4 linked regions of the Struthio camelus genome follow. The protein of the gene in region 4 interacts with the protein of the main gene of each other region in a pairwise test. Links are inferred from orthologs where the notes say so. Each region holds a gene or a part of one and is shown on either strand. Other genes may lie near its edges. The genes, in order: ZMAT4, RHOBTB2, SHKBP1 and CUL3.

The links.
Region 1: the proteins of CUL3 (region 4) and ZMAT4 interact in binary tests that used the Homo sapiens proteins (3 or more experiments, as listed by UniProt). The two-hybrid records come from large-scale screens. The link is inferred for Struthio camelus from reciprocal best matches to the Homo sapiens genes CUL3 and ZMAT4.
Region 2: the proteins of CUL3 (region 4) and RHOBTB2 interact in a two-hybrid assay, tested with the Homo sapiens proteins (2 studies listed by BioGRID). The link is inferred for Struthio camelus from reciprocal best matches to the Homo sapiens genes CUL3 and RHOBTB2.
Region 3: the proteins of CUL3 (region 4) and SHKBP1 interact in binary tests that used the Homo sapiens proteins (3 or more experiments, as listed by UniProt). The link is inferred for Struthio camelus from reciprocal best matches to the Homo sapiens genes CUL3 and SHKBP1.

The regions. Positions count from the first base shown.
Region 1 is NC_090968.1:7,611,464-7,619,229, reverse strand, and holds the start of ZMAT4 (zinc finger matrin-type protein 4), read left to right. Parts: upstream 1-4,757; 5' UTR 4,758-5,149; coding exon 5,150-5,203; intron 5,204-7,766.
Region 2 is NC_090968.1:5,215,669-5,223,661, forward strand, and holds the start of RHOBTB2 (rho-related BTB domain-containing protein 2), read right to left. Parts: upstream 3,006-7,993; 5' UTR 2,898-3,005; intron 1,479-2,897; 5' UTR 1,460-1,478; coding exon 1,401-1,459; intron 599-1,400; exon of another isoform or gene 457-598; coding exon of another isoform or gene 437-456; intron 1-436. UniProt on the Homo sapiens protein: Regulator of cell proliferation and apoptosis. It likely functions as a substrate-adapter that recruits key substrates, e.g. MSI2, to CUL3-based ubiquitin ligase complexes for degradation. Required for MSI2 ubiquitination and degradation.
Region 3 is NC_090957.1:394,853-402,591, forward strand, and holds the start of SHKBP1 (SH3KBP1-binding protein 1), read right to left. Parts: upstream 3,003-7,739; 5' UTR 2,979-3,002; coding exon 2,911-2,978; intron 2,020-2,910; coding exon 1,966-2,019; intron 850-1,965; coding exon 804-849; intron 592-803; coding exon 459-591; intron 319-458; coding exon 238-318; intron 65-237; coding exon 1-64. Other genes in the region: SPTBN4 (spectrin beta chain, non-erythrocytic 4), read right to left, coding at 5,209-5,370, 5,513-5,555, 5,635-5,808, 6,474-6,757, 6,864-6,939, 7,690-7,739.
Region 4 is NC_090950.1:12,984,685-12,992,627, reverse strand, and holds the start of CUL3 (cullin-3), read left to right. Parts: upstream 1-4,937; 5' UTR 4,938-5,071; coding exon 5,072-5,137; intron 5,138-7,943. UniProt on the Homo sapiens protein: Core component of multiple cullin-RING-based BCR (BTB-CUL3-RBX1) E3 ubiquitin-protein ligase complexes which mediate the ubiquitination and subsequent proteasomal degradation of target proteins.

The sequences.
Region 1 (7,766 bases), on a different chromosome or scaffold from region 4:
GCCAGGCTCTCTGGGAGACCTTGGAGAGTGTTTGGGACTCTGCAGCCCCAGGGAAAGGAAAGGTTCCTTGTCTCTCCATTGTAACAGCGCTCAGCTCGGCGTGCCAGCTTTCTGCTGGCCAGCTGGGACCGAGCGGTGGGGAGCCATAAAGCCTGTTCTTCCATGGTTTATTTAAGGACTTTTGGTCGTATTCTGCAGTTCATTTCTTTGCCGAGGATGTAGAGTTCCGTATCTGGACCGGCTTGATGCTTCCCCAAATGCATGTGTTGGGGATCACAGGGTGGTCTGACCCAGCTGAGCCTGCTGCACAGCAGTATGTGCGAGGCAACCAGTGCCTCCGAAGCTGCCAGCCGGGCACTGGCACAGGGAGGGATGGGGATTTGCCTGTCAGAGAGCCCAGGAGACTGCGGGAGCCACAGGAGGCATTTTTTCAGCAAGCGCGCCTGGGTGCAAGGGACTTTCCCGTCCTTTTGTGGTGGTTCCTGGGGCCTTGAGAGACTGATGCCCAAACTCGCAGAGGGAAGGAGCAATATGGGAAAAATCACTCTGCTGCTTAGGTCCTTATGCTCCATAATAGACAGGAATGAGTTTGCTAGGAGTTGAGATCATGCACCTTGAAAAAACTTTAAAAATTTATTAACTTGTAAGTTATTTTTAACATTTCTTGTGCTGATGCTGCTATTACAAGGGAGCACGTGATGTTCCTGGGAGTTATGTAATCCTAAAGAAAGTGAGGAAGAACTTTAAGAAATATCTGTTCCTTGGATGGTAGCTGTGTCACTGTAAATATTGTCTGATCTGCCCTTCTTAGCAATGGAGTATCTGACGCTCCAGGTGGCAGCTCTAAGGAGCTCGTGTCAACTTTGGAGGCTTAGACGCTTGGCTTAAATGCTCTTTAATAGATTTGTAAAGCTAAAGAACCAGGCAGGATCATGGAGCATCACAGCTCAAATAGTTTGTAAAAAGTCCTGTCAAGCAGATTAAGCTGGAAATGGAAAAATTGCTGGCGAAGTCTTTCCCCTTCTTTCTAATGTTTTTGGGATAGAGGGTGATTTAAAGTCCATTTCACCACTAGGTGAGTGTTTCAGATACCTGGTAGCAAAAGTGCAGCAGTGTGGCTCAGGCAGCTACTCTGCACTGGCAAAATCCCTGGGACTGTCAGCAGAGCACATTTAATAGAAACAAATCAAACTAAATAGACTCATTTCTTAAAGGTACTCCAAGCACACCACCTTATTATGACCATCAGTCATAGCTCAGCCGCAAGCACCTGGCAGATCTCATGCCCAGTCCACCAGCCAGGATTTTGCTGTTACTGTTATGTATGCAACATAGGCTTTCCAGTTAGATATATCACTTAAGATATGACGTTTTTATCAGGCTCTGGCAAGGGTGATAGTTAGATGGGAGAGCTCTTCCATGAGAAATGGAGGAGGCCTGTAATCACTTTGATCAGCCAAGCATCGGGGAAGGGAATGCAGCATGCTCTGTTTTACAGGGCTTTGGAAGCGAGGGAGTAAAGTCTCTCCACATCTCCACATGGAAGATGAATATCCCTCCAAGGTGCAACCTTTTGTTGCTTTGCACAGCAAAGATCTTCTGGAGAGCTCCCCTCCCGTGCAGAAGACCCAGCACCCTCGTCCCTACCGTGACATGTGCTATGGGAACAGAGGCCCGCAGAGCCACTTAACTGTGTCTTCAGGCTGTATGTATATATGTCACAGGCTGGAAATGTCACTTCCCAAGCCTTGGAGCAGAACCTCTCTCCACTCCGTGTATGGTTCCCCCCCCTCCCCCCTTGTTTGAACCCTTTTCTTACTTAACCTTCTAGTTCTAAGGAATTACCCCACCACAAGCAATGATGCCACATCATCAGGGTCATCCAGCTCTTCACCTATGGCTGTTTTCCCTTTCTCCTTTCTGTGCCTGAGGTATTTTTGGCCTTTTTGATACGGTGACAGATTTTGATGGGCCGCGGTTGCCTCGTGTGACAGGGCCTGATGCTGGTACAGCAGCAGTTGTGTGCAGTGTGAGGTGCTGGTTTGCACTGCTTCGAGTGTGCTGGGGGCAACCTGTCTGAATGCTTCTGCTATCTTGCAAGCAGCACAGAGCGACTGAAACCTGTGTTTCGTCCACCTGTAGCTTGTCCCAGAGGACATTTCTAAGCCCTTGTGTTATTAAACATGTAGAAATGCTGACCAGACTCTGTTCATGGGGATGAGGGATGCATTTGGAGGTCTTCACCTCTCTCTTCCAAGATTCCCTGAAAGTTCCTGTCATTAGTTCTTATTTTTGTTGCTGCCTTGTCATGTCGAAACATCTTTGACTCCAGAGTACCAGGCAGGATGCTGGCTGGAGACGGACCCCCAGAGGAGTCGGACTACACTGGAAAGAGGTGCGGAAGCGAGCGAACTCGGGCGCTGTGCGGCCGTGCGCCGCCAGCCCTGCAGGAGGGGACGGGGAGGGCAGCGCTTGCGCTGGCGGCAGCAGCCCGCCGGTTTGACCCAACAGAGCAGCCTTGTGCGAGCTCGTTCCTCCAGCACTGCACGGCTCCTCCGGTCCCTGCGTCCTTGCAGCAAGGCGGGTTAGCAAGGGTCTGTCCTGTTGTAATGCGTTACTTTGTCTAGCTGTGCTAGCAAAAAAGGGGTTGTTTTCCTCAAGACATTTCATGTAGAAATGATGGTGCTCTCTGAACATCACTGTAATAATAACATCATAGTGAATTTGAAGAGATCTGATGTCAAATACACATCAAAATAGCAGCAGATTTTTGCTATTTGTAAGTGTGTTTTCTAAATCTCCAAAGTAATTGGCCTGTGGGACACAAAAGGAGTTTCTGTGCCATCTGCTCGGAAGCAGGCATTTGGGAGGACTATCCGCTGCTCTCCCGGCTGAGTTGCTGGGCTGGGGCAGGGCTCGCGTGGGCACTGCGGGGGATGGCGACCTCTGCGCCCTGCTTTCACGTCTGCGCTCACAATGGGTTTGCCTCGAGGATTTTGCTCCCCTTGGCTTCTCCCGTGTGTCGGGTGCTTATTTAACACCTGGGGCCTCCGACCCAGGTCCGTATTTTGGCCGGTGATGGGCGATGGCGGCTCCTTCGTCTCCCTGGGTCCCGCGGCCGACGCAGAACCACCGCGCCGGGAGGAGGAATCGCCCCGTCCAGGTGCGGACGGCTTGGCCGTCCTTACTTATTTATTCTTATTTCCATTCTAGAGCCTTTGCTGAGGAAGTATTTACCCCGAGGTGTGTGAACATCGCACAGAAACGGTGCGCGGGCAGTCCTCGTCCGGCAGCAGCGTTCTCGATTGCGCCGTGCAAAGCTGCCGGCTCCCCCCGGGGCGCGGGGAGCACCCGGCCCCGCGCGGGCGCGCAGGGAGGCAGCGGCGCGCCCCCGGCGGCCCGGCCCGGCCCGGCTCCCTGCCTGCGCGGGGCGCGGGGCTCCCGCCGTGCCGAGGGCTGGGCGCCCGCGGGGCCGGACGCTGCCCAAGCGTGAGGCTGCGAGTGAATTCCTTCGCCCTGGAGCCTCTGATATCCTTCGCAGTCTCTGCCTTGCAAATCAGACTCGCACGTCCTTACGTTCTCCCAATAAGGAAAATCCCTCTCCGCTGCTTTGCTTTAGCCTGTGCTGCGTGAAGCCGGGCAGCTCTGCCTTTCCCTGGCCTGCCCCGGGCCGTGGAAGCGGGTTCTCTGGACGCTCTTGACGGTAGTAGGAGCTGGACCGGAGGGCGGCTGCCGGGGCCAGCGCAGCCTTGCAGAGCGCCGCGGAGCCAATCGCAGCTGCTAGGGGTGGAGCTGGAGCTCGGGCAGATCATCGCCGAGCGCCTTTCCAGCACAGTTGGTCTGGACTGCCGAAAGATCTGCTCGCGGGGAGGGGAAAGCTGCAACTGCAGCCCCGGCGCGCTCCTGCCCCAGCAGCATCGCCAGCGGCTCCCTCGGCCTCCGCGCAATACCCAGGTACCGCCCGCGCCCCTCCTCGCTCCTGCCCTGCTCGGTGCTGGGGTCTGCGCTGGTTAGAGTTTGCAGAAAGTTTATTGGGAAATCAGAGCTGTTTAACGAGGGGGTGCCCGCGGGAAGGCGGCGGGAGGGGATCTGCAAGGCGTCCGGGGCCCGGCGCCGGGTGCTGCAGGTGGGTTGCTGGGGAGCCGGCTGGTTCCCCAGCGCCAGCGCTGCTGCCGGAGGAGAGCTCTGCGCCCGGCCGGGGCCGGGCAGCGGGGAGCCCTGCCCGGTGCCCGCGCTGGCCGCGCTCCCCTTGGACCCGCGGCGGGGGGCCGGAGGCGGTCTGAGCGTGTTGCAGGAGCGATCCAGACCCGTCCCAGGCTTTGCGATGTTTCCCCCTTGGTGTTTTTATCGAATGCTGCATTTCACCTGTTAGCAGGTGGCTCGAAGCTGAGCAGGCCCGTCAACGCGGGCTCCTCCTGAGAAGGAGATCCCGTGTTGGATGGAGACTCGGGGATGCTTTCGCTGAACTGACTTTACGCAGGTTTTCCCACAATCCAGCTCGGGAGAGCGAGGTCCTAGGGCTGCCGCATGCAAGAACAAATATCTGTAGAGGCAGGAAAACAAGCTTATTTCCGCTATTGTTTGTAAAGTTTGGAGAACTTTCCAAGCCAGCACCGCTCGGAGCGACGGCGCCTTTGCACAGAGGCAGTCGTTGGCGGGGGCTGGAGCGAAGCCGCCGCTGCCGCAGCGGAGGGGAGAGCAGCTGCCAGCCTGTGCCGGCCGCCCGGCGCCGGCGGAGGGCTCGGTCTGCGCCTCTCCGCGGGGCTGCCGCCGGCACGTGTTGCACGGAATCGCCTGCCGGTCTGACAGCCTAAACAAAAGGCAGACCCTTATGCGGTAGGAGCTGGGTGACAGCTGCTTTGGGCTGCGTGACAGATCTCCGACTGACTCATGAGAAGTCTGAATTGCTGGCGATCCGTCTCCGTTGATTAGAAATGCCGGACCTGAGCAGTGCCCAGTCAGTCCCCGAGCTAGACAAGCTCCTGTCCCTGCCCTTCAGGCAGACACATGCTCTTTTTGCCCTCCTCTGATGTTGGAGCGACCTCAGCGTGCGGCGCTGGGTGAAGAACAAGCTTTGCAAAGCCTTGAGGAGCCGGTTAAAAATCACCAGTTTGCATATTCTGCCTGAGACCGTGCTGTTGGCTCTCGCATGAGCACGTGCTGTCCATCTGCAAACACAAACAACCAGCCTGAAATGCAAAAGGTGAGCCCGGAGGGAGCCGCGGGGATGCAGCCGGGGCGCGAGCTGCTCGGCCAGGGGGAGGCTGGCCAGACGGGCTCCAGCTCTGGGGCGCTCGCTGTGGCACAGGAGATGGGCAGTGACCTGAAGGATCTCCTGCTGCTTTTCCTTGTGCTGTGCCGTGGGGTGGGAGCAGCAGTGACTTGATAAACAATTTTAAAAGAGATGCTTTGATAAAGGATCCTAGACAGTGACTCATCTACCGTAGGAAGGGACTGGAAGGAGGGGCAGAGAGGAGCTTTTTAGGGTAAAAATGGGTCTTTCCCTCTCTTTATCAGAAATAGTGAGGGTACAAATCCTTCATTACTCCTGGAGTGGTATAGATCTGTTGATCGGAAACCTCCTAATCTGTGTCCCCTGCAACCTGTTCCAAGTGCTGTCTGCATCCCTCTCCCTGGGGAGAATCCTGCCTTCTGATCACATCCCTGGCTGGGACTTTGTTCTGAAGTTTGTTTGTTTTTTTTTTGGCTTGGGTTTCCCCCACCCCCAGCCCTTGATTTTATCTGATCATTCTTAGTCACTTCTGAGTCACCCTAAATAATTAATCTTTGTCCCTATGTAGCTGTTTGCTTTGCATTTCTGCATGCACCTGGCAGACCTGTGTGTGCACATTTCAGAAGCCACTTTGCTTCGCCCCATCTGTATTGCTTTGTTTTAACTTTCTTCCAGAATCTCCCCCCCTCCCCCCAACACCCCCAGCCGTTTCTGCACTATCGCAGTGCTGGAGTCACGGAAAGCCCAGAAGTGCTCAGCGGCTGCATCTCCACCTTCTCAGGTGTGCTGTAGAGCACATGCATCTCCAAAGGGCTTCCCTAGCTATTCACTGCATTGCTGACTAACCTCCCCTTGAAAAGGCATTAAGTTGCCTGTGTACAGAGATGCTTTGCAGGTATTTGCTGTGATCTGGTTTAATCTGCTGTTTCCAGTTTACAATGGAATTGGTGCAGCCAGCTGGTCTCTGCTGATTTAGCACCTTATTCCTAGTGAACAGCCCTGCTTCCTCTCCCTGGCTGTTTTTATAGCACTGTGTTATGCTAAGTAATTCCTCCTCCTCATGCCTAGAGAATTACCTGGGAACATTCCTGGCCAGACCTTTCCTCTGTGCCAGCAACTGAGCTGTGGTCCAGCTATGAACTTATCATCCCTCCATGCAGGCGTTTTGCTGTTGAGCCCCCTCCTCCCAAATCCACCACCAAAAAAAAAAAAAAACCCACTCCAAAACTTTAGTGATGAAATATATACAATAATAATAGTGGCTTGTGTTTTTTGAAAATTATTCCTTTGCAAGAAGTGACTTTTGACAAACAGTCTGCATCTTTTTCAGACCTATTAGTTTCTAATCAGAGCCATCTTTATTGCAAGGTATTTTTAAAGTCAGAAATCCTCCAAGAGGGTTGAATACGTCAACATAAAGTGACCTGAAGTCACTGCAGAGGTTTGAGATGGCAGAAGCTGGGAAAGGCCAGGACTTCCGGGTGCTGTTCCTGGCGGTGATTGCTCTAGGTCACTTAGACTCAGACTGTCAAATCTGGGTGTCTTGCTTTCCTTGGGAGCTTAACCCAGATAAAGAGGTGTGACTTGAAATCCGGAACTGTTTTGATAGATCAGAACTGGGCCATGGTTGTTCCCAAGGGTGGATTTGGGTACGGAGGCAGGAACTACTAAGTTTCAAGGTTCTCATCTCCCTCTGTTGCATGGACACCTTCCTCTTCTGAGCACAGTTTTCTTCCTGACAGCCCCCGACAGGTAGCAGAACGTACAGAGGTTTCGTTGTTGCTCCCCAAGCGTGGAAAGCACCCCTTGCTGCGAGGTGCAGCAGTGCCAGCACAGAAGGGGCTGCCCTCAGGAAAGCAGCAGTTAAAGGCGAGGAGGGGAAGGCTTTCCGCCGTGCCGTGCCATCTCCTCCACGATGAGCAGCACTTACTGTATTTGCATCCTCTAAAGGACGGTTCAGCAGAGCCAGGCTTTGCTGTAGCAGTTTTGCAGCTGTGACCTTCAGGCAGCTCATGGGTGGGACTGGAGAGACGCTGGCTCAGTGGGGTGTCGCAGCTTGGCCCCTTCATTTCATTTTCTCTGTAGTTTCTCAGGCACTTGGGCCCCCGGCTGAGCACTGATGCTGCAGCTCGCTGGGCGTGAGGGGCTGCAAGGCAGTGGCACTCGCTGTCCCCTCTCGTCCCGTGAAGGCTGTGCCCCAGCTGGCCGCCCCAGCCTTGCTGGGCTGGCGGAGGTGGGAGCCAGACAGCGGCGGCGGCAGCTCGTGAGACACCTGTGCCGCCGTGGGCTGCCGAAAGCTCCTCGTGCCCCGACCAGGACGCAGCACGCAGCGGAGACAAACACCCAGAGGGCTTCCTGCTCCTTTCTGAGTGTGCTTGGGCAATTTGGTAAACTAGGTGCTTAACTCTAGGTAGGCAGAGTGAGTGAAAGTTGAGAGGAATTAAGTGCACACTTCTCTGGGCCATGGCTCTTGGGGGATTGTGAGTAGGAAGCAAATGGGTTTTATTTGGTTGCTGTGCAGATAATGAGCCTG
Region 2 (7,993 bases), on a different chromosome or scaffold from region 4:
GGCCCCGTGCCGTGGGGCTGGGGGAGCGCAGACCCCGCAGGGCTCCTGGCATCCCCCCTTTCCCGCGCCCACTCGGAGCCTGAAAACTCCGAGTCATCTTCGCAGGGCGGCCGGCTCGCCGCCGGCCCCGCGGCCCTGACCCCGCGTATCCGCATCATGTGATGCCTGGCCGCCCTCCCGCAAGGCTTCCGCCGGCTCCTTGCCCGCCGTCGCCTGCGCCTGCCCGGGCTAAGCTCGGCCCCCCGCTCCCGCGGCGCTCGCTCGGCCGGGCTCGCGGGGCCGGCGCTGATGCGCCGCGGCGTCGGCCCGCTGCAAAACCCTGGCCGCTCGCCTCCCCTCGCGCCTGGCAGCCCGCGGGCGCCGGCGGCCCACGGCGGGGCCTCCAGCCCGGCCGCTGCCCGCCGGCCGCGGCCCCCTCGGCCCAGCCCAGCCTCACCTCACCCGCAGGACGGCCATCTCTCTCCGCAGCGGGAGACGGAGCCGCTCAGCCGGGGCTGGGGAGGGGGGGCCCTGCGGCCGGGCACGGGCTGCTCCGCGGCGCCGGCGGGGACCGCGAGCCGGCGAGGGAGCTGCCGGCGTTCGCGCCAACGCTATTTGTTTCCCTGCGTGGGGCTGGAGCAGAGGCTGCGAGCCGCCGAGCTGCAGCTCGAGTGGGTCACGGGGAAGGAACACGCCGAGCTGGTTTGCCAGCCGCATGATTTGGCTTATTTGCTCTGTCGTAGCAGGTGTTTGATTGTGGCATAAAAAGTTCCTGGCAGCTTCATGGTCAGCCGAATTCCCGAATGACCCCCCCCCCCCCCATCTCCCCCGCTTTTGTGCCAAACAAAAGCACAATTGTGACTTTCGGTGAAAGCGCCCGGGCTCCTGCGCAGCGGAAGCAGGGACGAGCCTGCAGCTGCTCGGGTCCCCCGCGGGGAGGAGAGCGGGGCGGCCGGGGGCTGCGGCGGGCAGGGGGCGCGCGGCCCCGACGCCGCGAGCGGCCGCTGCGGCGGGGGGCACCGGCCGGCTGGCGAGGCAGGAGCAAAGCGCCTGCCGCTTCCCACCGCCCCAAGGAGCAGCGGGGCCGGAGGCGCGGCGAGGACCGCGAGCCCCGTCTTCGCCGGCTGCAGAGCACGCGGCCGGGTTCGGCAGCCGGAGGCCCGTCCCACCGCCTGCGCGCCGGCACCGCCGGACGGTTTCCCCCAGCTCGAGGCAAGGCTGGAGGCGGCCGAGGCAGCCGCCGCGTCCGCCCTGCCAATCCCGGGATTGGCCTGGCTGCAGAGCGGATGCGTCGCTCTGCTCGGGGTTAAACGGGGCGTCAAAGAGCAAAGGGGCCGGGAGAAAGCGCCCGGCGAAAACCGCCTGAGCGCGGGACGCGACCGCGCCGGAGGGGCCGGGCGCCCCCCGAGCCGGGTACTTACAGGCTGCGCGCCATTGCTGCCATCTTCACGCCGCGGCGACCTTTCTCTGGGGTTTCCATCTCTTTCCCGTAGCAGGTTCTGAAAGGAGAGGACGGAAGGGCTCCGTGCGAGGGTCCCGAACCGGGGCTGGCTTCCTCCAGGCGCCGGCCCCTCGAGCCCTCGAGGCCCCGGAGCGCAGGAAGCCTCGGGGCAGGGAAGCGCCGCGCCGTGGCCTGGGCGGGCTGGGGGGCCGCAGGGGGCTCTGCCGGCACTGCCCTGCCTGTCCTTACGCCTTACTGCCGGCTCTGTTCTCCCCGTGCCCCCACCGGCGACACCCAAAGCGGTCCAGGAGGGGACACGTGCAAGCATACGCGCGCACCGACGTGCTTCCCTTCGCGCGGCAGCCCGGCTCCGGCTCGCGCCGACAGCCTCCCGCTTCGCTGCGGGCGCCGGGGAGCTCGTGAAAGGAGCGTTTCTCCACCATTCCTCCTCTGTCCCGCAATGCAGCAGGACCCGTCTCAGGGAGAGGAGGCTGGGGGGGGCTCCGCCGGGCCGGGGGCTCCCTGGCAGTTCCCTGCACCGCTCGCACACGTGGTGTGACCCGGCTGCACGCACGCATCCCTCTCCCAGGGCTGCACCGCTGCCACCTGATACGGGGACCCGTCGGGTTTAGCGACGCGGCCGGCGGCAGTCCCGGCGCGTGGCCGGCCGCCCCCAGCCCCGGCTCCGCGCGCGTGCGGGGCTGCGGACGCCTCGCGAGAAACCGTGCCAAGCTGCTATTTGGGGCAAGCTCCCCTAATAAGAGCGCATCCTCTGGCTTCTGCCTTCGCCTCCGCTCCTGGCTCTCTTGCTGGGGGAGAGCGGGGCAAAAGCAGGCGGCGAGGCGGCCGAAGCCCAGCTAGCCGGGCCGGGGCCCCGGAGCCCGCACGGCGCCGCGTTCGGAAAATAACTACACATCCAGGAGCCAAGAAGCTGTTTCCAAGCAACTGTCTCCAGGAGGGATGGAGACCACAGGAGGGGGGACAACTGGGGCGAGATAGGGAGCCCCGCTGCTAAAAAGCTCCTGTGGGGCGCCGGTGCCCCCAGGAGGCTCGCTCCAACCCGGTCCCTGCAGCTTTCCGGGCCCCGACTTGCAGGCGGCTCTGCCGCTCGGTGGGAAGGCGGACGCCTCCCGACCGCGGGGCGCTGCGCCCAAGCGATCGCCGTCCGAAAAAAGCTGCAGAAACCGTGGGCGGCATCTGAATTTCTTCGATGCACTCGCTGGCTTCATCCCCTTGCGGAAAGCCTAGCGTTTCTCGGGCCATTTGGGTCTTCCCCCCCCCCCCGGGAGCCGCCTGCTTTCCCGCACGCGGGAACGCCTCTTCGCTCTGCCCCCTCCAGCTGCAGGGCCTACGTTAAAGCGCGTTTTACCCCGATGCGCCCGTTGCCCCGGCCCTCGAGGGCGGCAAGGGGGCAGCAAACAGGGGCCGAGGGCGCCGCCTGCACCCAAGGGGCTGCGCTGGGGGCTGCAAAGGTTACCTGGGCCGGGGGGGACTCGCGGCCGAGCCCCTGGGCTGCACCTTCCCGCTGCTCTCCGGCGTCCCGGGCGCCAGGGACGGGCGCTCGCGGTTGCTCCAGGTGGCGACTAGCCTGGAAAGGTAGGATCTGTTTTTATACGTTTGCCCATGTGATCCAAACAAATGCCCTAGGGATGAGTTTTTGCACTGACACAAGTCAAGGGGCCGGGACTAAAACCTGTTGAACCACAATCCGGACTCAGCAGAAAGGAATTTTCCACTCGGAGCAACCGAGCCGGGCTGTGCGCGTGCCGGCGGCGCGCTCCCCGGGCCTGCGCCCTCCGCTCCCCGGCCCGCGGGGGCAAAAAGCGGAGCGGGGGGACGCAAAACGCATTGCGCTACGCTTCTGCAACGATGCCACCTCTTTTAGACTCATTTTATTAGTAGATCTTTAAACACTCTTGAATAATTCCCATTTTACAGCTGGAGAAAGCGCACATGGATAGTTGGATGGAAAGGAAGTGTGAAAGTATATGTTAAAGCCGTTCAGTAAGATTTAAATTCTGCACATAAATGCTATTTCTCCTGCAGCTTGTGGAAGAAACCGCAGCAGAAGGGACCACCCAGGATAAGAAACAAAGTGGAAAGCTTTACTCCAAAAGGAGCGACTCTCACCGCAGCCTCTGGGCTTGACAGCGGCCCTCCTGCCAAAGCCTGGCGGCACGGTTTGGAGGCCTGCCCACCCCTCAAGGGGCTGCTCCTGCGGCTCCCGCGTTACCTGCCAGGCGAGCCGGGCGCAGAGGAGGAGCGAGGGCCGGGAGGGATGGAGGTGACCAGCCGGCGGGGAATGGAAAGGGGAGGAGGACCCCGAGGAGCCGGGGTGAGTCAATGGGAACCGCCGGCCGGGGAAACGACGGCGGGCCTCGGCGAAGGAGAGGAGATGACTCCGTGGGCCTGCGGTGAGTCAGTGGGAAAGGAGGGTGCTAATGGGCTAAGGAGGAGCGGGCGGCCGTGGGATTAATAGGAGACAGGCGGTGGCCCCAGGGGCCTGGGCCAGTGTGGTTTGGGCTGCTTTGCTGGAGGGGACTGAAGTGCTTTATGTGGAGGAGTGCTGCATGCAGGTACTGCTTTTACAGGCACCAAGGAGGCACGTGCTGCTCATCGCATGCATGGTGTTTTCTGCTAGTGCAGCTGTTGCCTCACCTCCTAATTGGGATGCTGTTGTGCCTCTGTGCTGGTGTGTGTGGCTGGTGCTTAGTCATGAGTGCGGTATGTTCCCACGGGTGGCAGCGTGCTTTGCTCAGGCCCCAGTGGAGCTAAGCAGGAAAGGGGAGCGATGGGAGGTTTCAGCTTGGCTCTGTGGTGTGTGCAGAGAAGGACCCTGTTTTGCTGGGTCAGGGTGCAAGGGAGGCCGCTCCCTGCCCAGAGCGATGTTGGCTGGTGGCTGCCAGCTCTGTGCATCTCTGAGCAACCTGCAAAATGCTGGGCTCTGTGCTGCACCGCTAGCTCCTGACCCAGCGGCAAGGGGCTGCCTGGCTGGGGGCTGGTCCTTGCTAATGCAAGCTGCCCCCTCTTGTTTTGCAGCTGGCTTCCTGGGGTCTCGCTGCAGGGCTGAGGGTGCTGTGTGCCTGGTCCATGCTGTGGGGGTAACTGCAGGCCCTGGGCAAGGAGGGTGGTGGGTGCCAGGGGTCCAGGCTCAGCCTGTGATGCAGCTTGCAAAGAGCTGTCAGGGCCCTGTGCCGAGGGGGAAGGGGTGCTGGGGTCTTTGGGTGCTGGGGACCCACGTGCTGCTGGTGAGGCCAGGCTGAGCAGCCCAGGATGGATGCCCCCGACTGGCTCTGGGGAGGTCTGGAGTGCCCTGGTGGGGGCTTCCCAGGACTCCCTGAGCTCATTAAACCTGTATGACCCCCTGCTGCACACCAGTTAAACCCATTTAAGGAAGGGCTAAGCCAGTTTAACCATTGCCTCAATTACCAGAGCACCTAATCTGGTGCAAGTGCATCTACGCTCCAGGTTTGGGCCAGCTTATCTGTCTTGCCTCCCCCCCGCCCCATCTGCAGGCTCTAACACCAGGGCTGAATCTGATACGGCGCTGTTCAGATGTCCCCACTCAGCCAGCCTAAATTCCTGTTTGCTCCCTGCCCTGCTCTGGTGGGGAGCAGGGGTTGCGGTGGCCCCCCGAGCCCTGGCAGGGCCAGGCATGTGGCTGGGCTCAGCCTTGCCTGAGTCAGCGCGAGGATGTGGCCTTCCTCACCCCCCAGCTCCTCCTCATCACCTGGCAGCCTCAGGGCTTTCCCACGGTGGCATCCAGCCCTGCCTGGGGACATGTCAGGGACCAGTAATGGGTGTATGTGTGTGTGGAGGTGTTTTTCCCTCCTCCCTTCCTTCTCGGCAGCGGTCACTAACCGGCTGTAATCTCAGTACCCCTTTGCTGTCATCTCAGCGCCACCGTCGTGTCTCGGGGCAGCAGCCGGGGCCGTTGCGCCGCTCTAACGAGCGATGCCAAGCGCCTTTCCCTGCCTCTGGGCCCCGGGAAGGATCCTTAATGCCTGCAGCGTTTAAGCCTGCCCGGGAAGGAGGAGCTGGCCCCCTCGTGCCCGAGCGAGTGTGGAAGTGGCTGGGTAGCGCCTTGGCAGGCGGCTCGGCTCGGCTCAGCTGCGCGCTCGCCAGCGCCGCTGCCATCCGAAAGCTGCGCCAAGCTGCAGAGCTGCTGGCGCCGGGGGGAGCGGGGCTCCTGCGCGGCTCTGCGCCTGCCTTGTGACTGCAAAACGAACGCTCTTAATATAGGTCGAATGAAAACATTATTCCCAAAATAGAAGACCGTCCCCCGGCGGGAGCAGTCACAAGGCGCCTGCCGCGGCCGGGGGCTCCGGCAGGTGCCTTTACGTAACGGCCGCCGAGGGACCCGGCGCCGCTCCCGACTCCAAGGTCACCTCCCGTAAGCCTCGCTCCGGGACCCGCTGTGCGTGCTGGAGCGGTCGTGTCGCCCTCCCCAAAACGTGCCGGCCAGCTCCCGGAGAGGAGTTTGTGGATGGGGCGAGCGGCCGCGTGCTGCGCCGGGGTGCGGGGCTGGCGGCAGCGCTGCTTGCGTGCAAAACCGTAGCGAGGGAGCTGGCTTGTCTCGTGCGAAGACAAGCGCTGGTGCCGAAGGAGCTGGGCTGGGCTCAGGGTTGCGTTAAGTGCTGCCTGGGGGTAAAACACGCTCCTCGCTTGTACTGCGCTACCAAGCGGTGCTGCAGCTTTGCAAAGGGGATAGGCTCGCGGGAGCGCTCTCCGTGCACCGCGATGCAACGCAGGGGCGGCTCTGTGGGCTGCTGCCAGCGTCGGGGACTGCACCCAGCTATGTGTTTACTGCCTTGCAAATATTGAATATTCCTCCTCCTCCTGAGGGCTCCTGTATTGCTGGGCGTGATGCCCGGCTATGGGAGAGGGGCCTGGGAAAGGCACCGTGCCCAGCGGCCTCTCTGCCGTGAAGCAGCGCCCGGGGCTGCAGGCTGGCGCTCGGGCTGCGCTGCATCGCCCGAGCCTGCCGGCTGCAGGGGGCCGCTGGAGCCAGCGTCTCCCCAGGGTGACGTGCCTGAGCTCCCCGAGTGCTGGCTGCTGATAACGCCTCCCTGCCTCGCCTCCAGCAGCTGGGCACCGGGCTTGCTTGCTGGCATCTGGAGCTTAAATCCTGACGGGATCAGAGGCAGGAGCCTTCCTGAAGCCTGGCAAAGCCTTAGCAACTTCAAAGAGCTAAAAGCATCATCTGTCCCCTCCGTGGTCTTATGACGACTCCTGCTCCGTTTGCTCTGGCGGCAGGTTTAGAGGGCAGTGCAGAGGGATTGGAGGAGGAGACGGGTGCCAGAGCTCAAAAACCCCTTTAGTGGCTCTGGCCGTACCTTCCCCTGTGGTCGTTTGGGACTTTGCTGCTGTTCGTGGCCGCACTTAATCCAGCGAGACCGAACCCAGCTGCCTGCTGGAAAATGGGGCAGACAGCAGTGAGAGTTCAGGCTTCAGGCTTTGGCTGGTAAAAAAAGGAAAACAGAAATCCTTTCTGTTAATCTCCGAGGCTGGCTGCCTGCTCCTGCCGCGGATCTGCTCCGCAGGAGCTGCCCACGGCATTTCGCAGGCACGCACCAAGCGCTGCCCTGGCAGCCCCTGTCAGTAAGTGCTTTATGCGGAGGGTGATCCAGCCTCATAGGTGTCTGTTTAGGGGGTGCTTGGGTTTTTTGGGGGATGTATGTGAGCAGATTGCTCTGCATCTTGCCTAAGCAGCTGACAAACGTTGCAAAGACCCAAATATAGGTTCAGCTAATGAACTCTCTGCACTTGCGTTGGAGCTAGCAGTATAATCTGGCTCCCCCTGAGCAGGTTCAGCTTCATCTTATTGCAGTAAAACATGAAAGGGCTCATGCTGCCTCTGGATAGGGACTAGCTGACCTCATTTCTGTTAGCGAGATGCTTTCTGGTGCTATCAAATACTCCTGTTCTGTAACTGAAGCGCTTTTTAATGTGCCTCTCTTCTGACTCTTCAGAGGAGAAGACTCCTTATCAATGGGGCATTGAAAGTGCCGATTGGTACAAAACTAAGCTCTTGATAACACACTTTGAGGTCTAGATTTTGCAAACACTGAACTTCAACTCTTGGCCAAGGGCTATTTTTGATTTCTGTAGTGGCTCTCACAGCAGTGACAACCCAACTCTGCGATAACCCCTGGACCTTGTGTGGCAGCAGACAGGTCCATCCAGGAAAGCCAGGCAGCTCCCAAGCCAAACAGCGCAGTTGTGCCTCCTTCGTCTGTCTAACTCTTCCCAGAGCCTTAAAATTGCCTGAGGAGTGCTAGCCTTGCCAGTTAGTGTGGATTTATGGCCAAATGCTTTTAATTCAAAGCACTCTTGTCCTGTGGGTTGGCTTGCTCAAGATGAAGATGAGCTTGTGGTCCATGCTAAATAGCACTTGAAGTTGGAAGTGGAATTGTGAGCCATGCAAGGAGGGAAACTGGGGAATAGCCAGCGAGTGGGGGAGCTCAGAGCCACGCGGTGAGGTTACGGCTGGAGGCGCAGCAGCGTGAGCGGGGAGGCAGGATGTGGTTTTTTGTTTCCTTTGCCAGTTGCCATGTAAAAGCCATCAGAAAG
Region 3 (7,739 bases), on a different chromosome or scaffold from region 4:
TGCAGGCGAGCGGCGATCTGGGGCCCCGCGACGCTGTGGCGGTTGCGCCGCTTGGCTGGGAACACTGTGGGCAGCGACAGGGTGCTGCTGAGGCCTCCGATGAACCCTTTCCCTAGGAACCCCACTGAGAGGGGCCAGCCACCCCTGCCAACCCCTTCCTTGGGGGCTCCTGGTGAGCCATGACCCTGTTGGGTTGGCACATGCTATTTCCCCTCTCCACACACAGCTCAGCCCTACCTGGGGGCGGCAGGTACCCGTTGAACAGGACGCTCCCGCAGGACGACCGATCCAACTCCTCCCGCAGCTGCAGGCGTCGAACTGGTGGCAGAGTAGAGAGAGAGCCGTGAGCCCCTGCCCCTTGGCCCCTCTCCCTGCACAGAGCTCCCCACCACAGGGAGCTGCCCCCCGGCCCAGACACTCTCCACATGTCAGCAGAGAACCCCACCAAGAGCTATCACCTAGCGGGGTGATGCCATAAAACTCTGCCTCGTGCAGCAGCAGCGAGATGCTGACGCCCCGGGGGTCGAGCTCCTTGGTCCGCAGGAAGTTGAGAATCGGGGCAAAGACAGTGGGGTCCCGGTCGATGAAGATCTGGGAGGAAGAGAGCAGGTCACCAAGGGAAAACTCCTGCTGTAACCTGGCAGGCCCCCCTGGGGCATGCTGATCCCCAGGAGCTAGGCACCACTGGGCTCTCCCTGGCACCAGGACCCCCACCCAGGGCAGGGCTTGCTACATCTCGCTGCGGATTTGACCTGACCCCAACTGCCAGGGATCTGGCAACGGCAGGCGAACGGAGAACTCACCGCTCCTGTCTCATCCTTCAGGGTGGAGATGCGCCCGCTCAGGAGGCTGTGGGTTGAACAGAGGGGACAGAAAGTTTGTGTGCAGAGCTCAGCCGCTCCTCCGGGCTCCAGCTGTGCTGCGGGCCCTGCAGTGCCCGGTGCTGCGCGAAGGCAGGGCACTGCACGGCCCCGCACAAGGACAGTCCCTGCTGCAACAACTGCTCTCATCAGACCCAGAGGGAGGGTTCTTCACCTCTTTGCGGCTGGGGGACATGGGCTTCCCTCAACCAGCACGTAATTCCCATCCCCAAGCCGAGAAAATGGCAGCGTGTGCAGGCGCTGGCAGGCTTAGTGGACCTCTCAGAGCCTCTAACAGCACCTGCAGGGGACTGGAGACATGCCAGAAAACATCTCCTGTCCTTGTGTCTGTGAGCCCTGGCCCTAGCACAGGTAGGAGGCTACTCTCAGCTCACCCCGGGGTGGCTTTACCCAAGCAAAACCCTAAGGCAACGCATCAGACCAGCCACAAGTGCTCTGGAAAGCTCAGTCCCTGGAGAAAGAGACAGCAGGACCTGACTTATTACAGCCGTTTACAGCTGCGCCCAGCAGCAGGGGAGCAGGAGCACCCCAGGAGAGGAAGAGGCTAGGAGAGCAGCAGTCACGAGCACTTGCTCCAAGCGGGTAACTTTCTTCCACCACTTGAGCCAGAAAACTTTGTCTCCGGGCAGCCAGGAACCAACTGAACCCGTTGACTGGGATCAGCACCCACCTGAGAGCTGCAGGTCTGCTCCAGGGAGCAACTGGCTAGCACGCGCTGGGACTGAACACACACACCCGTGTCTGGACCGTGCTGCGTGGGTGACACGTGATGGGAAAAGCCAAAACTCCTCTGTGCCCTTCTCCTAACGCTGACCCACGGGCACCTCCATTCCCTTGCCTCCAGGGCCAAAGGGGGAATGTTAGTTAATGAGATGGGGCTAACTACCACCAAAAAAAGTGTCCAGGGAGTTTCCAGCCTCCCTAACACACTCTGCAGAGCAGATTTCCAAGCTGCTGGTCCAGGCCCTGCCGCATAGCTGAGCTGCGCGGCTCTGTGAGCCCCAGCACCACCCTGATGCTAATGATCCGGTGTCCTCGGGGGAGTTTGAGCTGACAGAGGGACAGGGGGGTCCATCCGCATCACCTGGAGAAGAACGAGTCTGAGATCCAGGTCAGCGTCTGCCGAGATGTGCTGAACCTGTGGGCAAGGGTGCAGGTCAGAGTGACCAGAAAGACCCCGGGGGGGCACTGAAAAGAATAGAGAGGTCTGGGGGGTTTGGGGAGACCCAGGGAAGCCTGACGGGGTCCTGGGCAGTGGGGGAGACCCAGAGAGTCTGGGTTAAGCCAAGGGTGGCCCAGGGGGAACTGGGGAGGCCCAGGGAGACCAAGGGCACCTGGGGAGGTGCGGGAGGGACTTGGGGGGGGCCAGGGAGACCCAGCGGGGTCCTGAGGGGTCAGGGGAGACCTGAGGGGTGTCCCAGGGAACCCAAGGAACTTGGGCTGCACCAGGGAAGGCCCTGGGTGGGTCTGGAGAGACCTGGGAAGGCCTTGGGGGGCTTGGAGCAGTTTGGGGAGACCAAGGGAGCAGGGGAGACCCTGGAGTGGTCGGGGAAGGGGGCTGGAAGACTGAGGGGGGGGAGGACTTGGGTGGGGGCTCATACTACCCCGAAGGGCTCTAGGAAGGGCTGGGGGGGTCCTGGGGGATCCCAGGGGGGCCAGGTTGCCCCAGGAAAGTCTGGGGAGGGGGTCTGGGAGATTGGGGGGGGAGCCCTGGGAGACCCGGAGCGGGGGGCCGGGCTCTCCCTGAGAGGGGTCGGGGGGATACGGGAGAGCCGGGTGGGCCGGGAGATCTGGGGGGGGTCTGGGAGGGGTTCGAGGGGGCCTGAGGGGGTTCGGGGAGGGCTGAGAGGGCCGGGGGGGGCGTAGGCCCGAGGGGGGCAGGGAGGCCTAGGAGGACCGGGGGGGACCCGGGGGGTGTCAGAGAGGCCTGGGGGACTCGGGGAAGGGACAAGGGGGGATCCGGAGGGGACCGGGAGGGGGGAACCGGGAGGGGGGAACCGGGGGGGGCCCCGGCGCCGCGCGCACGCGCCTCTTGCCGCCCACGTTGAGCTGCACGACCTCCCCGCCGGGCCGCGCCGCCCCGCCCGGCGCCGCCATGGCCGCCCGCCGCCCCACGGCGCCGCTTCCGCCCGCTTCCGCCCCGCGCCCCGCATTGGCCGCGCCGCGCCGCGGGCCCGCCCCGCTCGCCCCGCCATTGGCCCGCCCGAACAGCCCGCCCGACCCTCCGCGCGGCGATTGGCCTCGCCCCCTCCCACCCCTCCACCCAGGCGCCGGCCCGCCCCTTCTCACCTCCCCTCCTCGTCCCCAGTCGCTATTGGCCACGTGGAGCTGTGAGCCCGCCCCCTCCTCATTCCTGCCCGGGCATTGGCTAATCGCGGCCGAGCACCCCCTCCTGTGAACGTCTGTAGGCCCCCTCACCTCCCCATTGGCCACGCGGGATCGAGCGCCCGCCCCCCACCCTATGACTATCAGGGCCACACCTGCACGCCCATTGGCTGAATGCGATACCAGTCATGGCGGGAGGGTGGGGTTTTCTTTTCCCAACTCCGCCCCTTTTTAAAGGGGCGAGGACATGGGAGGGAGGGGAAACAGTGCTGGTGGGGCACCCGTTTTGGGGGGGGGGGGTCCAGGGGTGCAGCACAGTCACCCCCATCCCTCAGAGCTATTCGGCACCCCAGGAGCCTCCCAGCCCATTGACCCCCCCAATGGACCCCCCAACTACCCCCCCCTTGGGCTCCCCCAGCCCCATGGACCCCTCATGGACCCCCCCCATGACTCTCCCCAGCCCCATAGACCCCCCAATGGGACTCCTAGCCCCCCCTTTGGGCTCCCCCAGCCCCATGGACGCCCCCATGGACCCCTCATGACCCTCCCCAGCCCCATGGACCCTCCCATGGACCTCTCCATGACCCTTCCCAGCCCCATGGACCCCCATGAACCCCCCTCCAATCTCTCTGGACCTCCCCATGGGCTCCTCCAGCCCCATGGACCCATCCATGGTCGCGGTCCCTTAGGTCCCCCCATCCCAATGGACCCCCCCAGGACCCCAGGACCCCCCCAGGACCCCCAGGTTCCCCTCCAGCCCCAGCCTCCCCCCACACGGCACCGGGGTGGCGGGTCGGGCCCGTCCTGCTCCTTTATTGGGGGGGCGCGGGGGTGCCGTGGGGTGCAGCGAGGGGGTTTATTACATTTATACAGTGACAGCGCGGCGCTCGCCCCCGGCGCCAGCCCGGAGGCCCGGGGGGTGTGGGGGGCCCGGGGGGCACGTGCTCGGGGCGGGGCGGGGGGGGTGAGGCTTTTTTTTTTTGGTTATTTTCCTGGTTTTTGTTAAAATCTTTACAAATAGAAACTCCATCCCAGCAGCACGGTTTCTGGGGCCGGGGCAGCGAGGTGTGTGGGGGGGGGGCGGGCAGGAGCCAGCCCCGGGCGGTGGGGGGCACCGGGGCAGGCGGGGGGGCCCTCACCACAGGCCCGGGCACCACGACGGGACCCCGGGGGGCAGGCAGGGACCCCAGTGCCAAACCACCCCCAGTGCCCAAGGGGATCCCTGTGCCGGGTGGAACCCCCGAGCTGGGGGGATCCCCGAGCCAAGGGGATCCCTGTGCCAGGTGGGACCCCCAAGCTGGGGGGATCCCCAAGCCAAGGGGATCCCTGTGCTGAGGGGGATCTCTGTGCTGAGGGGATCCCTGAGGAGGGGGGATCCCTGAGCTGGGGGATCCCTGTGCCGAGGGGATTCCTCTGCGAGGGGATCTCTGAGCCGGGGGGATCCCTGAGCTGGGGCGATCCCTGAGCTGAGAGGATCCCTATGCTGCAGGGATCCCCATGCTGGGGGGATCCCTGTGCCGGAGAGATCCCTGTGCCGAGGGGATCCCCATGCTGGGGGGATCCCTGAGCTGGGGGATCCCTGTGCCAAGGGGATCCCTGAGCTGGAGGAATTCCCATGCCAGGGGGATCCCTGAGCCAGGGGGATCCCTGAGCCGGGGGATCCCTGAGCCGAGGGGATCCCCGTGCCGAGGGGACCTCGGGGCGACCGCGGCCGCGCTGCAGTGGCTCTATGGCTTGTGCATGGCAACGCCGGAGGGGAAGGGGGGAGGCCGAGCCCGGCGGGTGGGGGGAGAGAGGCCGGGGGGGGGGCTGCACCGGACCCCCCTCCCCAAACCCCACCGGGCACCCCGGCCCGGCCCCCTCGGGGCCCGCAGCGGGGCCGGGGGGCGCGGGGGGCTCCCTGCCCCATGCAGGACCCACTCCATCCCCCGGCGGGGAGGATTGGGGAGGGCACAGCCGAGCTGGGCCCCCCCTGCACGGCCGGTGGGGGGGGCTGCGGGGGTCACTTCCGCCGGGCCGAGGTGCTGGCGCGGCGGTCGCCCTCCCGGCGCGGGATGCCCTCGTCGGTGGAGGAGGTGGTGAGCAGGGCCTGGCCCCAGCGGGCGATGTCGGCGTGCTCCTGCGCGCAGGTGGCGAGCGCCTTCAGCCAGCTCCGCATGTCGTCCTGCGGGTGCCCGGCACGGCCGTCAGCCCCGGCACGGCCGCCCGAACCCGGCACAGTGCCCGAACCTGGCACGGCCGCCCGAACCCGGCACGGCCGCCCGACCCTGACCCCAGCCCCAGCCCCAGTCCCGGCCCCGCCGTACCTCGTCCTTGGCCTGCAGCAGGAACTCGCTGCCGTCACCAGTCCTGCAAGAAGGAGCTGAGCATCAGTGGCAGCAGCGGCGGTGGCGGCCCCGCGGCACCCGCCCCGGCCGCCCCGGCGCACCTCAGCTTGAAGACGTTCTTCTTCTTCTTGTAGTCGCTGGCCACCTCGCTGGTGGCGTTGTGCAGGTTGAGCAGGGGCTCGCCGCCGTGCGTGCTGCCCGACGCTGGCCCCTTGGCGTCCTTGTAGAAGCCCAGGTCGCCCTTGCTCAGCACGCAGTAGAGGTTCACCCAGGACCTGCCGGATCGACGGCGGGGGCTGCCGGCACCGGGTGCGCGCCCGCCCGGTGCGCCGACCCCCCGAGCCCTCGCCGTCATGCGGACCCCTCCAAACCCGAGCGCACCCTCACCCTTGCACAGACCTCCGAGCCCCGGCGCACCCTCTGCCTCGTGGGGACCACCCCGAGCTCTGCTGCGTGCTCACCCTTGCGTGCCAGGTGCGTCCTCTTCCTTGCCCAGACTCCTCCGGACCCCAGTGCACCCTCTCCCTTGCACAGACCCCGAGCCCTGGTGCACCCCCTCTCCCTTGCAAGAGCCCCCAGGACCTCATGCAGCCTCTCCCTTGCACGGACACCCCCAAACCCAAACGTGCCCTCACCACTGCATGGACCCCCCAGACCTCGTGCACCCGCTCCCTTGCACGGACACCCCCGAACCCAAACGTGCCCTCACCACTGCATGGACCCCCCAGACCTCGTGCACCCGCTCCCTTGCACGGACACCCCCGAACCCAAACGCGCCCTCTCGGTTGCACAGACCCCTGAGCCCTGGTGCACCCTCTCCATCACACAGACCCCCCCAGGCCCTGGTGAACCCAGTGCTGCATGGACACCTCCCCCCACCCTGAGCCGGGGTGCACCCGGTGTCGTTCGGCCCCCCGCGGGCCGGGTGCCCCCCGCTCACCTGTTGGACGCCTTCTTGTTGGGCCCGTCGAGCTCGTGCTTGCGGAAGAGGAAGCCCTCGTGCTGCACCGTGTGGGTGGGGGGCGGCGGCGGCGGGGCGCTGCTCTGCGCCGGGGCCGACCGCGACCGCCGCGCCTCCCCCGGCGCCTGGCTGGCGTCCTTGGGCCGCGGCCGCCGCCGGGGCTTGGGCCGGTCGCGGGCGCGGGGCCGGTCGGGACGCGGCATCCTCTCCGGCAGCATGTCGATGCCGTTGGGCAGGCGGCCGGGGGATTCCCGCTCCCGGGGCTGGAGGGGGCCGAACGCGCCGTCGGGGCGAGCTCCGGCTCTCCCAGCCGGAGACGGGGGCAAACCCCGCCGCGGCGCCCACCTCGGAGGGGACGCGGGGACTCACCAGGGCCGGCGCCGGGACGGGGCCGGACGACTCCTTCTCCTGCAGCTGCTCCACGATGTCGGCCAGCGTGGCCTTGCTGTCGGCAGAGGCGGGCGTCAGGGCGAACCCTCAGGGCTCCCGTCCCTGCAGGACCCTGCACTCGTCCCAGCTGGACTTGGCCCCCATCCCAGCCAGACCCAGTGCCCATCCCAGTTGGACCCTGCACCCATCCTGGCCGGACCTCGCACTGATCCTGGGTGGACACTGCACCCATCCTAGACAGACCCACCTGCACGCTGCATCAATCCTGGCTGGACCTGGTGCCCATCCCGGTCAGACCTTGCACCTATCCTGGCCAAACCTGGTGCCCATCCCGGCTGCACCCTGCATCCATCTCAGCTGGACTTGGCCCCCATCCCAGCCAGACCCAGTGCCCATCCTGGTCGGACCTTGCACCCACCCTGGCTGGATCTTGCACCCACCCCAGCTGCATCCTGCATCCATTCCAGCTGGACTTGGCACCTACCCTGGCCAGACCTGGTGCCCATCCTGGTCGGACCCTGCATCCATCCCAGCTAGCACCTATCCTGGCCAGACCTGGTGCCCATCCTGGTTGGACCGTGCATCCATCCCAGCTGGACTTGGCACCTATCCTGGCCAGACCTGGTGCCCATCCTGGTTGGACCGTGCATCCATCCCAGCTGGACTTTGCACCTATCCTGGCCAGACCTGGTGCCCATCCTGGTTGGACCCTGCACCCATCCCGGCCGCACCCTGCATCCATCCCAGCTGGACTTTGCACCCATCCCGGCCGGAGCCGCCCCCGCGCCGGCCGGCCCCGTCTCACCCGCCCGCCTTGCCATCGTGGCGCGGCGTCTCCTGCTCGCTGGACTCCTG
Region 4 (7,943 bases):
TTATCCTGCCTGTTTTCCTTCTGTGCACCTCAGGCTGCGCGCTCCGCAAGTAAAAACCCTACCTGGCCCTACAGGGGGGACTAGACGGGCTCTGCCCCGTGGCTCCAGCACTGCAGTCCTGCGGGCGGTACTGCCGGTAGCGCGGGCACCGGCAGCAGCCTGCCTTGCCCCTCCGCACACCCGCAGCCTGGCGCCCACAGCCTTCCCCGGCACCCCGAGGCCTCTCAGCCACCCCCACGGGGCAAAAATAACAAACAAAAAACAAAAAAAACCAAACCACCACATTGCTTTTTTACAACAAATAATATTTACGTTATTTCTGTTCGTGGAAGAAAAGAAAGCAAATTAAATGAAAAAAATTACAGCGCTACCTGATGTGCTGGTGGCTTTATTGTGTCTAATTATGCCCCTCCCTAAAGTCCTCTGAAGCAGTGATGAAGGCAGATATAAAAAGAAACAAAACCCTTTCTTCATTCAGGACATGCAGGAAAGAAAAGTCTGAAAGTGGATAGAAACTATGCGAAAGAGCGCACCTTGGCGCTGTCCTGCTTCTTTGAAGGGAAGTATAGTAGTGTCCTAATAAATCATGCTTCTGAGTATTTCCCATGTTTTTATAATACCCCACTGACCCCATACCTATTATAATCTATGCACCTTATACACGGAATCAATCCATTGAGATATTATTTTGATTTATAGGGGAAGGACTAAGACAAGGCACTAAATGGGTATTTACCGGATCGTGCTGAGCTTTGTTGGTCTTTACGTGATTTGGAATAAAATTCTGCTTTTGGCAGGACTACCTTTGTCAGAATCCTCAATGCAACGTATTCAAAATCAACCTATGTTTATTCACTGGTTGTTTATTTTGCTGGTACATATCTCTGTGTTGTTACAAAAAATACACATTTTTCCCTCAGTTGTGGAAGTTGTGATGGAAAGAATGATTTGTTTATTGTTTCTCCCAAAACAGTAACATGGGAAAGTGAAGGGACTATCTTATAGATGGGGTTACTGTGTCACATATAATGCATGCAAATTTGAAAGCAACCATCACATGCAAAGTGATGCAGCTTAAAAAAAAATGCCTGCTCCTTTATTCTGCACTTTAAAGGGAGAGAGCTCACTCTTCTTCCCACCCCTGTATGCAAATACTCTTTTGTTTGTCTGTAGGAGGACCTTATAGAGTGAGGTCAAGCCCTGAAATGCTTATCTAGGAGTTTACATTCAAGCGTTTAGGTACTCCTGGGATCAGAATTGGGTCATTCTGTTTCCTGCTGTGACAGAAACCTTTTTTTTCTTTATACTTGTATTTTTCAGTAGTTGTATATCACTGAAGGCGGTGAGTGAATATGTAAGGAAGACCTGAAAATTTAGGTATGTGTGATTCCTTGGAAGTGATGCTTATCTTCAAAATATTGGTTCCTGGCTTCAGCGGAGCATGATCAAGCCTCAACAAGGAAAAAGTCACTGTTTAAGTTTATAAGAACATTTTTCTGTAAGTTAAACAATAACCACATCCAGCTTTTAAAAGCCTGATTATGAAGATGTTAATCAAGATTGAGTCTGATGTAGCATATTGTCTTCACATTGGTCAAATATGTCTGCTGCCCTTCACATGACTAAGGTAAGTGCTAAATCAGATTGTAAAGACAGTGTTTGAACAATTAAAGGTTTGTTGCCACCTTCAAGATAAATATATCAATGAAAAGGGTCATCCTTCTCGTGCTGACAGAAAGGTGATGATATGCCTTTCAGGTGAAAAGGTTCTGTATGGATTACCAAGCACCTGAGCATCTTCAGTATTGCATTTAGTGATATGTTCAGCAAAAAAGGCCTGATGACCTCAGGAAAAAAAAAAAAAAAGTGAATGGCCACTTGGCATACACTGCATATGTTGAGCTTTTCTCTGCACAGTATAATTTGTTCTGGGGGCCTTCATACCTCATGTCTGTATGCTGTTGTGATTGGTGGAAAATATGACTAAGGTTGTTGCAACACACACGATCCTGAACGTTCAAGAAGGGTGACCATTCTTTTTCACAAGAACCGTTACCTCACTGCAGGACTAACTGAAGATATGCAAGATACGCACGTAAAATAGCTGCCATGACCCAGTTAAGCAATAGGGTGGCTAACTCTTCCTATGCTAGTCTGTCCTCCTCCACTCATCTTTCTGGTTTTGACCAGTCTATAATTAATGTTATAAGCACCTAAAGAACCTCTAAAATAGTTCTTTGTGTGAGCTCCAACCTTGTTTTTAGCAAAGCTTCATTTTGTAGATTATGTATGGAAAGAGAAAACTTGCAGTGAAAAGACTGTAGTTGTCTCCACATGGTCTGTCCCAGAACAGACCTCCAGAATGCAGGGAGGAGCTCCTGGTGCAGTTCTGTATAGCAGATATCCCCACCAGGTCGCAAATCTGCATAAGGAGATGTCTCAGGCAGCAGTTTCAGCTTTTAATAATATAAGAACTAGCAATATACGTCTCTTTGTGTGTTAGATCTACAGGCTCACAGCGTGGAATTAAGCTAGCTGGCATGGGTATTGAGGGAAGTGGGTGTGAGAGTAATTTTACTTTTAATTCAGCGTACCATGCTGGGCTGAGCAGCAACTAAGGGTGAGTCAGCACTTTTCAGACCCTCAGATAAAAATGTGTGCTAGTAGCGACTAGGATGAGCAGAAGGCGAGAGACTGATGTTCCAGGGTTGCGGTAAGCATAGGCCAGTATGGGAGGAAGCACAAAAGCAGTAATTAGAAAAGTTTATCTAGAACAATCGGCAGTAATGGATACTTGGAAAGTTCATTAGGATTGTTTTCAGCAATTTTTTCCCTTCTTTTCCTGAATGAAGAAATGCCAGTTCCTCAAAAGCAAACTATTTCTGGGAAAGTTTGGCTTTTTGAAAACAGTATTGTATTTGTTGCATTGCACACTTGCAACATTCTCAAAATGAAAACTATTAGGACAAATTTACTTTTTATTTAAGTGTTGTGATCCGTTTTCACAAGAGTCAAAATGAAAACTTTTCAAGTGACTTGATCTTCACTGTTACAGAAAAAATATTGGAATTTACTGTCATTGAAATACAATATTATCCTCATTTGGCAAAGGAAATACTTAGGAGGAGAAATAATCTGCAAATCATATTGAAACAATACAGAAGCCATGTTCTTCATATTAATAAAGGGCAATCTTTCCCTTCCCATCACATCTTTTCTGTTTCATCTACATTCACTATAATTTTAAGCAGGGCTGGCTGGTATTGCAAAGTCATGTTGCAATCATTGTTTATTGTGCTGCTGTTATATAACATCTTCTCTAGGCGTATACTTAATTCTGATCAGGAGATTAAGAAGAAATCCCGTATACAAACATCTGTAGTCTCAAGGGGAAGTGGTTGTAACAAACTGAGAGACCAAAATGAAGTTACTTCTGCAGAAGGTGGGCCAGCTCCGAGAGGTATGTTACCTCTGAGGGCAAAGGCTGCAAAGTGTAGATGCACCTGCAGGGAAACAGTGATAGAGAAGCAAGTGGAGCTGGATGAAAAATGGACATTGCAAGATGCCCAAGATTCAGAGTCTGGTTTAAGAGTCACCTAAAAGAAATGCTCTTCCTGGTTATGCTGCGTAGATCCTCTGGGGGAACCCGAGCAAGTGATGTTTTGTCCCACATTTCAATTTCATCCACTAACTTTTCAGTTAGTCCCCTAGTGACTAGGACCTAGATTTCTTTTTTTTGGTTGAGCAACGTAACTTCCAGAGGTACTAAGCTGCTGCCGACTTACAAAATCTGACATTTTCAAAACACTCTTCCCTTTTGCAGCAACTGCCCTTTCTTGAATGACCTATATTTAGCACTGTGCTCATGCAAGCGTTGCCTCAGGTGGCAGTCTCATTTCTCAGGCACGTATTGATGAGAAACAAAACATAAATAAAGAGGAGAGAAAACAAATGCCTTGCATCAGGGCATTGTACGAGTCTCCCACGGAGGGCTACGCCTACGGGTGGCATGATTCAGAGGGGCACAGTGGACATCTGGGAGGCCACAGAGGGCTGAGCAGCAGGAAGAGGCACAAAACGTCTGCCTTTCCTCACAGCGCCGTGCGAGCTTCACCGCAGGTGGCCAGAGCAGCGGCGCGGGAGGACAGCCCCTGTGTGTTACCCCGAAAATAAAAACGTCTCGCATCCGGGGACCCCAAGAGGGGGGATAGTAAGGGGGAGGGGGGCATGTTAAAAATAAATAAAAATAAAAAAGGGGGGGGCAGCAGGCGGTGCCAGGCACCGCGCGGCCCACGAGGTGGCCTGCGGCCTCAGCCCGCCGCGCTGAGGGGCAACCGGCCGGCGTCACCGCCTGCTCGCGCGCCGCTCGCCCCTCCCCGCCGCGCGCCGCTCTCCGCCAATCAGCGGCCGCTTTCGCTCCCGCCCTCCTTCCCCCCTCGCCGCCGGCGCCGCCCCCGACAGTGACAGCTCGGAGCGGCTCCGCCCCGCCCGCCGCCGGGAGGCCGGCCGGAAGTCTCGCGAGATTCGGCGCGGCGCCCCCGCCCCTCCGCTCCCTCTCTCCCTCCCTCCTCCTTCCCGCCCCCTTCCCTCCTTCCCTCCCTCCCTCCCTCCCCCCCCCCGGCGGCGCCCCGCCCCGCGGCCTCCTGCCGCCTGCCGCCGCCCCCGCCCCCGCCCCGCCGCCGCGGCCGGATCTGTCTCCTCGCTGCCTCGCTCGCTCGCTGGGTGGTGGTGGCGGTGGGAAGGGAAGCGGAGGAGGGGAGGGGGGGGCGCCCGGCCTTGCGCACTGAGCGATGTTTGTCCGCCATCGCGGCGGAGGAGGAGGAGGCTGAAGGAAGCGCCGCCGCCGGAGCCCGGGGCCTGCGCCGCCGCCGCGCCCCCCCCACCGCCGCCGCCGCCACCTCCCCCACCCCCCCCCCCGGGCCGGCCCGCCGCCCGGCGCGGCGGCCCGCAGTGAAGGTCGCCAGCGGCCTGCCCCGGCCCCGCTCCCGGGGCCCGCCGCCCCGCTCCGCCTGCCCCCGGCGCTGCCGCCGCCGCTGCCTCGCGGGAGGCGCCGCTCCGGCCGGGCCCGAAGATGTCGAACCTGAGCAAGGGGACGGGCAGCCGGAAGGACACCAAGATGCGGATCCGAGCCTTCCCCGTGAGTACCGGCCGCCCGGGCCTAGCCGGGCCGCAGCGCCGCCGCCGCAGGCCCCGCCGCCGCCCGCCCGCAGGCCCCGCGGCCTCGCCGCGCTGCCGGCACCGCCGGGCGCCCTGCGCAGCCGGCCCGGGCCGGGCGCCGACCGAGCTGTCAGCGGGCCGGGCGGCCCCGGGCCCGGCGGGAACCGCGGCGGGAGCGGGGAGCTCACGGGGCTGCCGGCCGCCGCGCGGCCGGGGCAGGCGGCGAGCTGGTGGCCGCGCTAGTGGGCTGCTCGCCAGCCAAGCGAATCGGTCGCGAAAATCCACCCCGGGCTTGCGGGGTGGGGGGGGCCGGTTCCTTTGTTTTGGACGAAAAGGCCTGGAAGAAGGAGTCGGAGGTTGTGTACCTGCATCAAGAACACTGGTGAACCCGGGAAGCAGGGTGTGTGTGTGTGTGTGCTTGTTTATGTCTTCTGCGGAGTTTTCTCTCGGTGAATTTATTTCATTCTCCTCTCTGTGGAAGAGACTACAAGCCTATGATTATAGGATTTAGGTGGCAAAATGCCAGGTGTGCAGAGTGTGTTACTATAAACATCTGGCCATAGGTAACTTCCACGCGTGTTCGGCAGAGCCACCAGCATGCCATCTCCTTGAGTTACGGAGGGGAATGAGCCAGTTTATTAATTTATACTGCCATAAACCTTGCTCTGTTTTGACAGTTGGTGCAATTAAAGCTTACGACAGAATAACAGCTACAGTACTATTAATGGTGTTGAAGGAACGAGGGAAGTAGGAAAGCTGCAGTGTGCCTAAGGATGGCCAGGAAGTGTGTGCGTGTTCATCTATGTATGTGTTAAAAAGAAGATTCTTAGTTGAGTCATTGGCTTTTAAAGCTTAGCATAACTTTTTGATGTTATGCCTGATCCTAAGCGGCAGTGGTATAGAACTAATGTGCCTTGCCTTTATGAAGAAACTGGACATACCTGTTTATGTTATTTCCCTGGCAAGGAATATATCAATATATTTGCTTCATTGAAACTCTTGCTGATGAAATTAGAGAATCCTTTATGTTCTCAACAGCTGGTTCAGCCATAGCAGTCTGAATTGTACTGCTGTCCTCTTAGTCCTTCCTGTACTTTTAAAAGTAATTATTGACTGTTACGTTTAGTGGTAAAAGTTAAAAGAAAAAAATGGGCTAGGAAATGTATGCGTTTTAGCTGATGAAAGGTTTTTGATCTTCACATTATATATTTTTAAACACTCTTTTTTTCAAGAACGTTACTACTGTTAGGATATTTTGGTTTATGGGAATGCAGGGAAAAGGCTTACTGCAACGTGGCCAGGGCTTTACAAATACATAGTAGGAAAACTTGTGCAAAAATTAACCATGAGAAAAGCTATGGTCCATGTTTTATAACGTACTACACCAAAAGATAGCAATTTTTAATTTGATAATCAGATCCTTGTATTATAACTCTGTACATATGTAGATATGGGTCAGCCAACAAAGGCAGGCCTAACAATGGCATAAACTTCGATTTGCGTTTTATTTTTTTGACCGTTCTTGTAAACGAGCATACGAAATTAGGTTGGTGGGTGAAGAATGCTCATACAGAGGCCTGTTCTTACAGAAAGTCAAGCATTGTCATTGTGGTTTTTTTCCTTCTCAAACTGTTTGTGTTAACATTGTTTCTTTTTCCTTTTCAGTTGCTTAAAGAATATTTAGATAAAAAATCTTGAGGGAGGAAAAAAAAAAACAAAAAAACTTCTCTCCCAAATAGCGCAATAAGTATATATAGGCATCAAGGCCTACAGATCTTAAGTATTTGCTGATGTCTATCGACAGCAATTTTTCAGGTGTTCTCTTCGATAGATTTTCTTTTCTGAGGCATATTGTTGACAATCCTGTTGATAAAGCCTTTATAGAAAAGGAGCATGTATTTGGGTGAAAGACTTTGAGGGTTTTATCTTTTATAATTACAGAAGGCTATAATAGTTCATGTAAAATTCTAACACCAATTTTGCAGTCATCTTAATGTTTGTATAGCTTTGGCCCTGTGAATAGGGCCAGTGACTGCAGTGGGATTATTCATGTCAATGAGGTTACATTTGTTTGCAGGATAGAGTCTATATTTAGAATGCAAACTCTTCATACTTCAGTTACTGATCCTCATTCTTTTATCTTAGATTTGTTGGTTCTGCTCTTCAGTTTTGAATTGGGAGCACTACCAGAGACTTCTCGTATGTTACTTCAATTTGTCATCTTGCTGATCATCTCTGCCTGTTTTTGTTTAGTTGCCTTCTTGCACTGGGAGCAGCTCTTGATTAGTATATTAAATTAGAGGTAGCCAAATTGGACAGGTAACATAAAATTGCTATGTTCCAGGAGCCTTATCTACCTCTGTGTAGGTTCATAGGTCATCATGGATCTCACATTTTCTGTTTTTATAATCTTTTTGATATTTTTCTGATATTGTTATCTGTTACAGTAGCAAAAGGAAGAAGAAGTAATATTTTGCAAAATAGTATTACTTTTAATGTTTCCTTTTTCTGCATTATTAGAAGTTGGGTGAGTAGAAATTGCCCAAAACTTTTGACCACAAATGTTGTACCTAGAGATTGTTATGCTTTACGATTAGTTTTGTTCTAGATTCTTTATTGTATGATTTCTTGTCACTGGTGGCAGAATATCCCTCATCAGAAGTGTCCTTTAGCATTTATTAGCTCCTGATATGTACTCTGAGTTGCTCTTTCTTTCCTCAAAGCACAGTGAGTTCTGGGGATTCTATGTTGAAGTGGGTTGTAGAGTAATCAAAAGTAATTGAGGA